Linked DNA regions of Macaca fascicularis. The protein of the gene in region 2 binds, or shares a complex with, the protein of the main gene of each other region. Links are inferred from orthologs where the notes say so. Each region holds a gene or a part of one and is shown on either strand. Other genes may lie near its edges. The genes, in order: CD69 and S1PR1.

The links.
Region 1: the proteins of S1PR1 (region 2) and CD69 are in contact, whole or in part, in a cryo-EM structure (PDB 8G94), measured with the Homo sapiens proteins. The link is inferred for Macaca fascicularis from reciprocal best matches to the Homo sapiens genes S1PR1 and CD69. Residues at the interface, in NP_001307659.1 of Homo sapiens: Asn157, Leu160, Phe161, Ile164, Ser165, Trp168, Val169, Leu172, Ile173, Gly176, Ile179, Met180, Gly181; in NP_001772.1 of Homo sapiens: Val41, Ala44, Val45, Val48, Val49, Thr52, Ile53, Ile56, Ile59, Ala60, Val63.

Annotation. Positions count from the first base shown.
Region 1 is NC_088385.1:11,127,663-11,133,853, reverse strand, and holds the end of CD69 (early activation antigen CD69), read right to left. Parts: intron 5,775-6,191; coding exon 5,652-5,774; intron 4,622-5,651; coding exon 4,422-4,621; intron 4,056-4,421; coding exon 3,952-4,055; intron 2,971-3,951; coding exon 2,859-2,970; 3' UTR 1,864-2,858; downstream 1-1,863. UniProt on the Homo sapiens protein: Transmembrane protein expressed mainly on T-cells resident in mucosa that plays an essential role in immune cell homeostasis.
Region 2 is NC_088375.1:133,172,012-133,178,252, reverse strand, and holds the start of S1PR1 (sphingosine 1-phosphate receptor 1), read left to right. Parts: upstream 1-2,803; 5' UTR 2,804-2,896; exon of another isoform or gene 2,897-3,004; intron 3,005-4,884; 5' UTR 4,885-5,047; coding exon 5,048-6,196; 3' UTR 6,197-6,241.

The DNA.
Region 1 (6,191 bases), on a different chromosome or scaffold from region 2:
ACTGGAAATGTGAAGACATTGTGTTTCTAGTTATAATAATCATCATGAGTGTTTAATACATGCCTACGGTGTACTAGGGAGCCAGATAATGTTTTAAGTTTGTTTTCATGTACTAACTAATTTAATATCTAGCTAATTTTAGCTGAATTTTGAACGAGTTCTGATAAAATAGCTAGTCAGTCCGCGCGTGGCAGAGATGAAACTAGGGCGGTCTGGCCCCCAGTGCCTTGGCTCTGAACAGCGCCATGCGCTACATATTTTGTTCTATACTTAAAACAGAAGTGCAGTAATCTCCTACAACCACTAGACGGCACTGCAACTTTTGTAACGGGGACAGAGCCTGGGGCAAGAGGGGTTCTTGAGACAAACTCAGTTTTTATATTTGTAATTGCTCACTAGCAAGCAGAGTCATACTTTAAATAATAAAATTATTCCCTTTAAGAATTCTATTTTTTAAATCTATTTAAAGAAAGCAGTGGTCCTTAAGAATAAAATGACTTCAAATTATGTGTAAAAAAATAACTCGCAGTTATCCGTGTTTTATCCATTGCTTTTTCAACATAATTTCAATTTCTTCCTCTGGAGAGGGAAGCACGTTAGCTGGTCATTTCACATAATTATAGGGATTCAATAAAATTATTTTTAAAAATGATAAAATTCATTGAATTTTTAGGTGATACAGTCAGTATTCAATGAGTTAAAAACTATCATACTAATATAGAAATAATATTTTTAAGCTTGCTCAGTTTTCATAATTTGATTAGATTTTATGCACATAAAAATATGTTATAACTAAAATATTAATCACAAGACATTGTTTTCTAAGATGACTCGGGAGTAGATTGTTCTTAACGATAGACTATTAGAGCTAGGAAGCTGCTTGTTTCATTTTTTTCCCACAGCTGTGGGAATTCAGGAGCGCAGAGGTCGTTATTTTTCACTAAGCAGTGTCTGAAATCCACATTTCCGTTTGCCATCTGTCAATAGTTTAGAGATACCATACACATCACACATTTCCAACAGGCAGAGAAGAATATTGCAAATTACATTTATAAAACAGTTTTGAAGGTAATCGAATGTATTAGGCTATTCTTGCATTGCTATGAATATATCTGAGACAAGGTAATTTATAAAGAAAAAAGGCTTAATTGGCTTACGGTTCTGCAGTTTTTACAAGCATAACACTGACACTGCTCAGCTTCTGTGGAAGCTTAGGGGTGCTCTTATGGTAGAAGGTGAAGTGGAGTGGGAGCAGGCATGTCACATGGAGAAAGCAGGAAAGAGAGGGAGACAAAGAGAGAGAGAGAGTGCTGCACACTTTTAAAAGACCGGATCTCCTGAGAACTCACTCACTGTTGCAAGGAGACCACCAAGAGGATGATGCTAAACCATTCATGAGAAATTCGCTCTCATGATGTCATCGCCTCCCACCAGGCCCCACCCTAACAAAGGGGATTACCATACAACATGAGATTTGGGCAGGGACACACATCCAAGCTACATCATCAAGTTTTTTGCTGATTGAAATATCCCATGAAGATTATGCCTCATTTCTATGTATTGAATTATTTTACGTAAATAACTAAAGTGTATATAGCACTTCAGAATTGAACAGGATACTTTCAGAGCATTGACTATGAGGAGTAATTATTACTGAGCATCTTCTATACACAGAAAAATGAATATGCATACATACACCCTTTAGCATATATGAAAACAATTTGATATGTATAAGCTGTTGTAAAACTAAGAGTTTTACCCTAGATGGGATTTTTTTCTAAGTTATAGTACTCTGTTTTCTTCTTTCTCATACAGTATATACTTTTAAATGTATTTTGAAGGAATGAACTTTCTTGGAAACCATTGTGTTTATTCTACTTTTATTTCACATACATGAAAACAGCTTATAATTGTACTGAACACAAAATACAAACAAATACATTTTATTGCACATAAAAATATTTTAAAAGAAGTATTGAAGTATTGCACATAATAGAATTGATTAGGAAAGTCACAAACCTATTATAAGACTAGTATTATTCTAGGTTTGAACATTACAGAATATTTCCTGATAGAGATTTGCCACATCACATATTGCACATTTTCCAACACTTTTCTAGGTTTTACAAATATTCCTCATACTCTTTGCTTATGTCTTTTCTCTGTAAAACAATGTATAAAAGATTATAAAGGTAAAGAAATATGTACCATCGAAAAGGACCAGTCTATGGCTGAGGAAGTAAAAAAATAAATACATGATCATCCCATTCTTTTTGGGGAAAAATAACAAAGTAAATTGGCAAATTTCTCTAAAAAGAGAGAAATATCACAAATCTTAGTTTCATAAGCATTTGTCCATTTATAAATGCTCCCTGAGTTTAAGGGATTCAATGACTAAATATGTATGTTACCAGCCATAATTCCTTTGTTTACATTCAGTATCTAGTACCAACATCTAACTCCTTCCAATAGTGCAAAGGCATGAAGCGCTCTCACTGTTGGTAGTCATTCAGCAATAAATAGTAAGTCCATGCCTAGTTATTTCATTATTTCTGGATTCAAAATAATATAAAGTGCATCCAAAGGTTTCATAGTCATTCTTCTCATTCTTGGGCATGGTTATCAGTCAACCTGTTATGCTTCCTGCTCATGGCAACAAGAGCCCACAATGAAGATTTTTCCGGGAATTTCTTCCTTTTTTCCATAGTTCTGTTTGGAAGAAAATTCCCAAGATACTACAAAAAATTTTTTTTTTTTCACAAAGTCTGCATGGAAAACTTCAGACCACAGAGCAGCATCCATTGACACAGATTTCCTTGAGTTCCATTCTACAATAGTCAATAAGTGAATATGTTTCCTTATGATTTGTAAGGTTTGTTACATATCCAGTATAAATTCTTCTCACATTCCATGCTGCTGACTTCCGTGTTTTTCAGAAAAGCGCACTTCTCAGACCCTGTCAAGTTGAACCTGTCAAACAATAAAGAAACTTACAATTATTTTCAGCTCATTGTTTTCATTCAGTTACATGAGAATGAACTCAAGATGGTGACCTCTGCTTCTTTTAAATTCTCAGCAGGATACATAAGTCAAATAATCATAGACTAATTTGTAGAGACAATGGACAAGAATTGAAAACAAAAGTATGTGGAAAAAAAATATGGAGGTAAGAGGAAAGCACGCCATTCATTTGGCTGGCATGGCACCAGAGAAGTGATTCTTGGTCATTTTTGAGTTCATAGATTTTTCAATAAATAATTTCACAAAATTATATGCATCCAACAGCCAGGCATACTAGTGCATACAGCTTTAGGGGGTTTATGGTTCCTGAAGCCCATCTGTCGATATGGAACCATAGGACAAATATTAGGAATCTCTTTTCTAGAGACCTGAATTTTAATCTTGATACTTTATCAGTATTATGATCAACAACAAACTTATAAAATGATCTTCAAACATTAAATGTATTTTAACTAAAAGTAATGAAAATAGAGTATCTAATTCTGGGGCAAATTTTCTTTCAGGTCTATAGAAATTCATAATTAGGCATTGAAACTATTCTTTATTCTGTGGAGATGAAAACTGAGAAATAGTAAGAGGGATTTATTTTCCAACAACTATCTCATTAGTAAAGACTAAATGTGACATTGAAAGTGGGGTTTTGTTGCATCATCATAATTATCATTAGAATATATCCAAATGAACCAGATCTATTCCTCACATTAGAGTTTGCTGAGAAAAATTACTATAAGCATTTATTTTATGTATTATAAGTGTGGATAAAGAAAAAAGAATAATAATAAAGGCTGTCATTAAAGAATTTGAGTATACGCATTCAGAAGAGATTGTTAGAGCTCTTGAAGAGCTCAGCCTTCGTATCTAAAGTGCTTTGAAAGGAGAAAAGGAAAATGATTTTCCTGAGATGCTCGCCAGAGGCTTCTGGAGACTTACCAGTTGTTAAATTCTTTGCCATTTGACCACTTCCATGGGTGACCAGGCTCCTTTTTCAGTCCAACCCAGTGTTCATCTCCACCTGCGTATCGTTTTAGAAAGTTCTTAAAGAAAGCACAAGGGAGTTGTTACATTAAACACCCTTCTAGGGAAGTAGATAGTAAATCCTGTTTCTCAAAAGCTGCAACTTGAGGCATGACAGCTCATCTGACCATTGACTCATTCTATATAGGATCAGCATATTTGGATTTCTGGTCTTTGAAGCTAAGCAATCAAGTCACATTTAAAAGACTAAAGTGAGTAAATCTCATTTTGACCTCAGGCTGATCATATGGTTCTCTGGGGTGATATTTTCCTACATCTGAAATAGGTACAATATTGTTTTTTTCTTCCACTCAGAAACAGAAGGAAACCACTGATTAGCCATATTAATTAAAATAGTAATATTTTATCATTTTTTTCATTCTTACCATGTCCTTAACAGAATCAATGACAGCGAGAGTAGCACCATGTTCAGAACAAGCACTTTGGGCTGAAGTCCAGCTCCTCTTCACAGTAGAAATAAAGTAGCATTTCCTCTGGTAGCTAACCCAGTCATCAGAGCATGAAGAAACATGGCTATCTGATGGCATTGAGAATGTGTATTGGCCTGGACAATTGTATTGGCCCACTGTGAACAGAAAAATGCTTTGTTTTAGTAACAAAAGAAATGAAATACCCATAGCATGCAAAACTAGCCTTAGGATGCTATGTCGTGCTAGGTGGTGATAAAGTAAAGGATAAAAGCTAAAAAGGAGAATTCTGAAAAGGGTATGAAGAAAGAAAGTTCTCAGGACCATATCTGATTTTCCATTGAGCCTAATCGTCATTGGATGGAGGTATGAGGATGAGGGGATGTACCTTTGGCCATAATGTCAGAAAATGACAGAAATATAGAAAAATTCTGAAAATTTGGACTAGATATTTCTTTGGACTAGAAAGGGTAAAGTACATTATATATTTCAAATAAGGTTTTGAATCTGAATGCAGAGGTGGAAGAATTTGAAGATGCAGTATTTATAACACTAGGTTGGAAAGATGAAGAGAGTAACTTTTAGGGAACCAATTCAAATACAGAAAGACATATGGCTGAGAATATCTCAAAAAATGGTAAACATTCCCATTTGTAAAAGACACAAATATATCTCGGTATAGCTGGAGGTATCGAATACCGAATCACTACTGACTCTCTGGGAACTTTTAAATATAATCTTAATTATTCAGAACTACCATTCTGTGTCCTTTGAGATAAAACACAAAAGACTGACCATTTCCTGATGAATCTATGACTTTAGATACGATTTTTTCCATAATCAATGAATGTGAAGTTCACATTTTTTTTCCAGCTAAATAGCTATTTATTCAGAATTCAAATCAGCTCCCTTCATTCTAGATGTAAACGTCTTTTCAAATGCAATTTTATTCTACAGTAATATATAAATCATAGATACTTTAATACTTATAAAAGTATTACATTAATTATTTGAGGATTGTGGAATTATGTCTAGTATTGAGTAGGAAATTGGCCATATATGGTACATGGGATGATTCTAAATTAGCTACAATTTCTGATTAACTAGACTAAACTAATCTTGATTTCAGCTGGGCATGAATGCTTACAGCTGGGAGGCTTTGAAAGAATTGATGACGAGCAGACCCACCTGATAAGGCAATGAGAGCTATGATTAAAATGGTGATGAAGACCACATTCATTACAGCACACAGGACAGGAACTTGGAAGGATCCTTCACGATGTGTTGAGAAACGGGGGCTGGTGGCGTCATCTGGAAGGGAGAAAGTTGACGGTGAGTTCAGGCAGACTATAGAAGGAATATGCGATATTCTTTTCAGGCATTTAAATTTAATATTTCCTATCTCCTGACATGAAATTTCCCCATCTCTTTATAGAAATTTTTCAAAAGATGTTAAAATAATAGAGGAAATGTAACAGTATTATAGACCAAATATTCAGTGAAAGTTTTTTCATTTACCCTCTGTACAGTGGTGAAACAAAGTAAAAGCCTTTTTTTCCCCAACAAGTAGTGTTTCAGTGGAAGGATTTAGAATAGGAATATGATGTTAATGATAATTGATAGTTACAAAAAACTCTAGGAGGATATCTGTTCTATAGTCTAAGTAAATAACTGAGGAAAGAGAAAAGAGAATTTTGTGATTTAGATTTTGGATTTTAATTTTGCAGG
Region 2 (6,241 bases):
AAAAAAAAAAAAAAATAGCTCACCCAGTTACATTTGAATGGCCACATTAATGACACATTTTTGTTTAGTGTATGATCCAAAGATTATGTGGTACTTTATCTGGAAACTCTTAAAGAGAAACACTAAAGCATGTGTAAAGAACGACAAAGCCACTCTGAAATCAAAAATTGGAAATGGAGCAAACTTAAGGTAGGAATATTGGCCTTGACTTCTAGGCAGTAGCAGAGAGGGAGTTGTACTAGCAATCAGGAGATAGCTTGAGAATGCAATTTTTAGGGCCTCCCTGGAGAGCAATGGGAAGAGACTTATATGGGAACTAGAGACTTGGAATTGGCCAGGACACCATTGCTGAAAACATTTGCCTACTATCTGATTTTACATAAGTGGATCATCTACAATTATATCTCATAGATGTGTACTAAAGATGAATATTATTAAATAGCAATCTGCAAAGTATTTAGACTGTGTAAAACACTTTATCAGCATTGAATGTTAAAAACCAGTGGTATTCACAAGAAAACAACTGATATCCCCAAGGAAATTCTTGGACCTGTTTGAGGTTTATCATGGTGGTCTGGAGTAGTGGTTAAGAGTCTGCAGTCTGTCCCACATTAACCAAGCTGCTTAATATGTCTGGGAGTCAGTTTCCTTGTTTGTAAAATTAGAATAATTATAGTGCCTAACTTGTAGGATTAAATGAATTGATATGTGTAACACTATGTGCAAATACTAAAAGTACAATGTTACATGAGATATCATAGGCAGACAATAAGAGGTGTTAGAAAACATTCATTAATATGCATGTGTATACACTTTGTATGCATATGTAGAAAACGAGTGATTTGAAAAGGACATTCATTAGCATACTTTTCTATGAATTTTGTAGACACGTACAGTCAGAAATGCATGCAAATGTGAAACTTTAAATCTAGAAGTCTGTTTCCCTCTAAGAACATATATCTCAATTCCTTAACTGTTTATTGACTGATAGCGTTTGAGCCACAAGGCAAGGCATTTGCAGTATTTAGGTTTTGGAACCCAGCTCTGCCACTCACTAGCTGGAAAATCTACAAGTCACCTTAGTTGTCTGAGTGACACTTCTCTCAACAATAAAATGGCCAGGAATGCTTGCTTACTTCACAGAACAGTAAGGTTAAATTAACCTAGCACATGCTTGATACAGACTAGGTGTGAAATTTCACTTTGATTCCTTTGGCTTTAAAGAATGCATAAATTAATGTGGGTGGGGGCAGGTGAAGGGGGAAATGCCAAGTCCCCCGTTTTGTTGTGCTGGGTAGATACAATGTATCTTTTCCCCTTTAAGTGAAATAAGTCCTCAAATCCAATTAGGATCTACTCTGGAGTCTTAGAGGACCGTTATCTTAGTTTCCACATTATATGCACTGTACTGTTACTGAAGTTGTGGGTATGTATTGGGTGCATCGCCGTTGATGAGTGCTTTAAAACAGCTGTGAATTAACTGTCACTTCTTTTTTTTTTTTGGCAAACTCACAAAATCCCAGAAGTCAGGGGTCTGTTGTTTATTCATTCTGCCTCCTTCTGAGTCATTCAGGTACAGGGTGTGTCTGCCAATTGAAACTGCACAGCGGAGGAAGTTTTTGAGTTCACATCTGCCGGGATGGGAAAGCAGTGCGACCAGGGACTGGGTGGAAACCTTTACAACAGTAGGGCAAGGGCAGAAGCCTCCTGAGCTTGTCACGCAGGCAGATCTGACCAAGGCCGCCTCTCAGCCTCACGTTCTTAAGTAGCATCTAAGCAAAAGAAAAGGGTGGGCAGGTTGCTAGTAATGAGATTTGAGGCCTCTGAGTCGACTCTCAAGCAGAAAGTGAGAGAAGGGTGCCGGCCCCTGCTGGGCAGCTGCAGTTGCTCCGCATCGCGGGGCCGAGAATCTTCCCCTTCGGAAATTCCGGAGCTGCCCAGGCGTTTTGAATCTCTCAGGACTCGGCAGCAGCCCACCTCCTCAACGACCTCTCCATTGGCCAGAATCTGGGACACACAGTCTGACTTTGCGCTCAGCTGAGGGAAACCCCTTGCCCAACACCAAAACCGGCGCTGGTTCATTTCTCTGTGCACTCCGGGAAATCCACTGCCCTCTCAGACCGCAGTTTCGAGGAGCACCAGGATCTGGGGTGGCGCGGGGAGAACAGGAACCTCCCGGTCCATTCTCCCTCCCGGGCTGCTTGTTTCCTCTGTACTTCTCGCAGCCCCTTCCCAGCGTCTCCTCCCCAGAGCGCCGCCGAGACTCGCCGGGCCGCGGCTCTGGTTTTCTGCTGCCCGCGTGAAAGTGGCTCGGGGAGCTCCTGGTCACAAGCTAAGCACACCGATCCTCCTAGGGCTGCGGGGGGTGTGGGACCAGGGCGGTGCGCTACGAGACTCCGGGCCGTCCTCTGCCCCTTCAGACTTTTCGAGAGAAAAGTTTCCCAAGTCTCTCCACCTCCTTTTTTTTCAGGGGCTCGGGAGAATCCTCTCCACCGCCAGGGATCAGCGTGCATCTGGGCGAGGGCAGTGATTTATACATTAGAATCCAGGGGTTACCGGGCTCCGCCCCTTCTCTCTCTCTCTCTCTCTCTCTCTTTTTTCTTTCATTTGTTGTTTGCGGAGGAGGAGTTCTTTTTTTTTTTTTTTTTTTTTTTTTTTTTGCTTCTGCCCCAGATCTTTCCTGGACAGTGCTTCTCAGCAGTTCAGATCCGGGGGCCCCTAGCTGGCAGAGGGCGTGGGGGGTTAAGGCATTAACCCCTCCCAGCGTCTTCCTGAAGAAACCACCCAGCCTTGGCGCGGCGCTGGGTGACTTCGCGTAGCAGGCAGGGAACTGGCCGCGGCGAGCGGGACTGGCCATTGGAGTGCTCCGCTGCGGAGGGAGGGGACCCCGACTCGAGTAAGTTTGCGAGAGCACTACGCAGTCAGTCGGGGGCAGCAGCAAGATGCGGAGCGAGCCGTACAGATCCCGGGCTCTCCGAACGCAACTTCGCCCTGCTTGAGCGAGGTAGGGGGCGGCGAGTGGCGGGGGACTGCGGGCGCGGGGAGCCCGGCTGTGGTAGGGCTTAGGTGTCAGAAACGAATTTTTAAGCCGAACGAGGCAAACAAAAACTTTGAAAACATGCATCTCTGGGCGCTGAAAATTTGCATCTGTGGGCTACTAAGGAGCCCAACTCGATCGGATTTTTCTTGGGTACTTGTGATTTACGGAGTTTGGAAAAAAAGGTTAATTCCCAACTGTGGAACCTATGGGGGTAGGGGCAGTGAAAGCTGCGGTTGGTCGGAGGAGTAGTAGGGAAGGTGCTAAATTTTGGAAATCCTATAGACAAAGAATATGGTGGGTGGTGTGGGGCGTAGGTAATGGCTTAAACTAGTACTGCCCAGGAGCAGGGTATAAAATTAGTTGGGGGAAATGTGGAGCTTCTTGGCTTGAGCAGCCTCTGCTGTTCGCGGAGTTGCTGGGATTGCTCTCATCTCTATTACCTCATTTTATTGCACTGCTGAATTACCTTGAAATATTTAAGCAACTTAGAAGTAGACTTCTGCTGACCAGTGCGGTCTTAGAAAGTTAGTTTGTTTGTAACTTTCTAGTCCTAGGAGAGGAGTCAACGTGTTGGGGGACGGCAGTAAATAAAACTGCCCACGCAAATTTAGCAATGCACCAGGGAGCAGTTTAATGTGAGTTTCTGAAGAGTAGTTTTGCGCTCGAAATTAAAAATGTGGTAGCATGTATTATTGCTGTCATGAGTAGTTTGATTTCTCTCTTTTGTGTATGTTTTGGCTAAACTAAACAAAGCAAAAAATATTTATGCGATCAACTAGTGTACGAAACTTCTGGGATTTGCTGCAATCTGTTATGAATGGTTTTAACTGAATACCTTTAAATTTACTTGCCCTGGCTTGGGGGCGGTTGGGCGGGGGAGGCGGGGAGAAGAAGAAGAAGAAGAAAGAAAAGGCAGTCGCTTCACGGAGGCGCTAAGCTTTCCTGTTTACTGCAAGGCGGGGCGGGCCTGGCTGCCCACACCTCACTGCGCCCTCCGACCCTAGGCACACCTGCTCCTAGAGAGTTATTAATAGAGCCCCCAAATGACTTACGCTTTCAAGTGATTTTCCTGCAAATCTGATTTCTTGCATGGCAATTAGGAGGTGGTGCTCGTCTCTTTGAACAGGGGAGCTAGGGGTGGGCATGGGGAACAGAGGTGTGTGTCTCTACCCTCAGACTGGCAGTCTAGTCTTTTCCGAGGAGAGACGTGGGCTGGTGTTGAGCGTGCAGCTGAGCTGGTGACTGCTTCAGACAATTTCATGGCTGGAAATACGGGGGTGGGAGGGTGGGGGGTGGCGAGAGGGCAGGAGTGGGGTTAAAATGGGGTGTGCTCTCTAGGTTTCCCATTCCCCCCACTCCTTGTTTTCCATCTTCTTTTTTGTTTGTTTGTTTTTGTTTTTGTTTTGGTCAACCCACAGCCAACATCATAATTCCCACTTCTCTTTGAGTGAATGTGGCCATAGAGTTTCTCCCTCTTTTTCTTCCCCCTCTTCCTTTTTTGGAAAAAAAAAAAAAAAAAGGGAAGAAAAAAAGATTTTTTTTTTTTTTTTAATCTCTCTGGGCGCTGAAAATTTGCATCTCTGGGCTACTAAGGAGCCCAACTCAATCAGATTGTTCTTGGGCACTTGTGATTTATGGAGTTTGGAAAAAAGGTGAATTCCCAATTGTGGAACCTACAGGAGTAGGAGCAGTGATTTTTTAAAAAAATTCTCTCTCCCTGAGCTCTTCCCAAGTTTCTTTAAAACAAATCAACAGTAACACAATTGGAGCAGTGCCTTAGCTAGAATGAATTATGCCAGTATGCTGTGGCTCTTTCCCTGACTCTCTCCTCTGACTTGTTTAAGGCTGCGGTTTCCGAGGCCCTCTCCAGCCAAGGAAAAGCTACACAAAAAGCCTGGATCACTCATCGAACCACCCCTGCAGCCAGTGAAGGCTCTCTCGCCCTGCCCTCTAGCGTTCGTCTGGAGTAACGCCACCCCGACTTCCTGGGGACACAGGGTTGGCACCATGGGGTCCACCAGCGTCCCGCTGGTCAAGGCCCTCCGCAGCTCGGTCTCTGACTACGTCAACTATGATATTATTGTCCGGCATTACAACTACACGGGAAAGCTGAATACCAGCGCGGACAGGGAGAACAGCATTAAACTGACCTCGGTGGTGTTCATTCTTATCTGCTGCTTTATCATCCTCGAGAACATCTTTGTCTTGCTGACTATTTGGAAAACCAAGAAATTCCACCGACCCATGTACTATTTTATTGGCAATCTGGCCCTCTCAGACCTGTTGGCAGGAGTGGCCTACACAGCTAACCTGCTCTTGTCTGGGGCCACCACCTACAAGCTCACTCCCGCCCAGTGGTTTCTGCGGGAAGGGAGTATGTTTGTGGCCCTGTCAGCCTCCGTGTTCAGTCTCCTCGCCATCGCCATTGAGCGCTATATCACGATGCTGAAAATGAAACTCCACAACGGGAGCAATAACTTCCGCCTCTTCCTGCTGATCAGCGCCTGCTGGGTCATCTCCCTCATCCTGGGTGGCCTGCCCATCATGGGCTGGAACTGCATCAGCGCGCTGCCCAGCTGCTCCACTGTGCTGCCGCTCTACCACAAGCACTATATCCTCTTCTGCACCACGGTCTTCACTCTGCTCCTGCTCTCCATCGTCATTCTGTACTGCAGGATCTACTCCTTGGTCAGGACTCGAAGCCGCCGCCTGACGTTCCGCAAGAACATGTCCAAGGCCAGCCGCAGCTCTGAGAAGTCGCTGGCGCTGCTCAAGACCGTAATTATCGTCCTGAGCGTCTTCATCGCCTGCTGGGCACCGCTCTTCATCCTGCTCCTGCTGGATGTGGGCTGCAAGGTGAAGACCTGCGACATCCTCTTCAGAGCGGAGTACTTCCTGGTGTTAGCTGTGCTCAACTCCGGCACCAACCCCATCATTTACACTCTGACCAACAAGGAGATGCGCCGGGCCTTCATCCGGATCATGTCCTGCTGCAAGTGCCCGAGCGGAGACTCTGCTGGCAAATTCAAACGACCCATCATCGCCGGCATGGAATTCAGCCGCAGCAAATCGGACAATTCCTCCCACCCCCAGAAGGACGATGGGGACAACCCAGAGACCATTATGTCTTCTGGAAACGTCAACTCTTCTTCCTAGAACTGGAAGCTGTCCACCCACCGGAAGAGCTCTTTACTTGGTCGC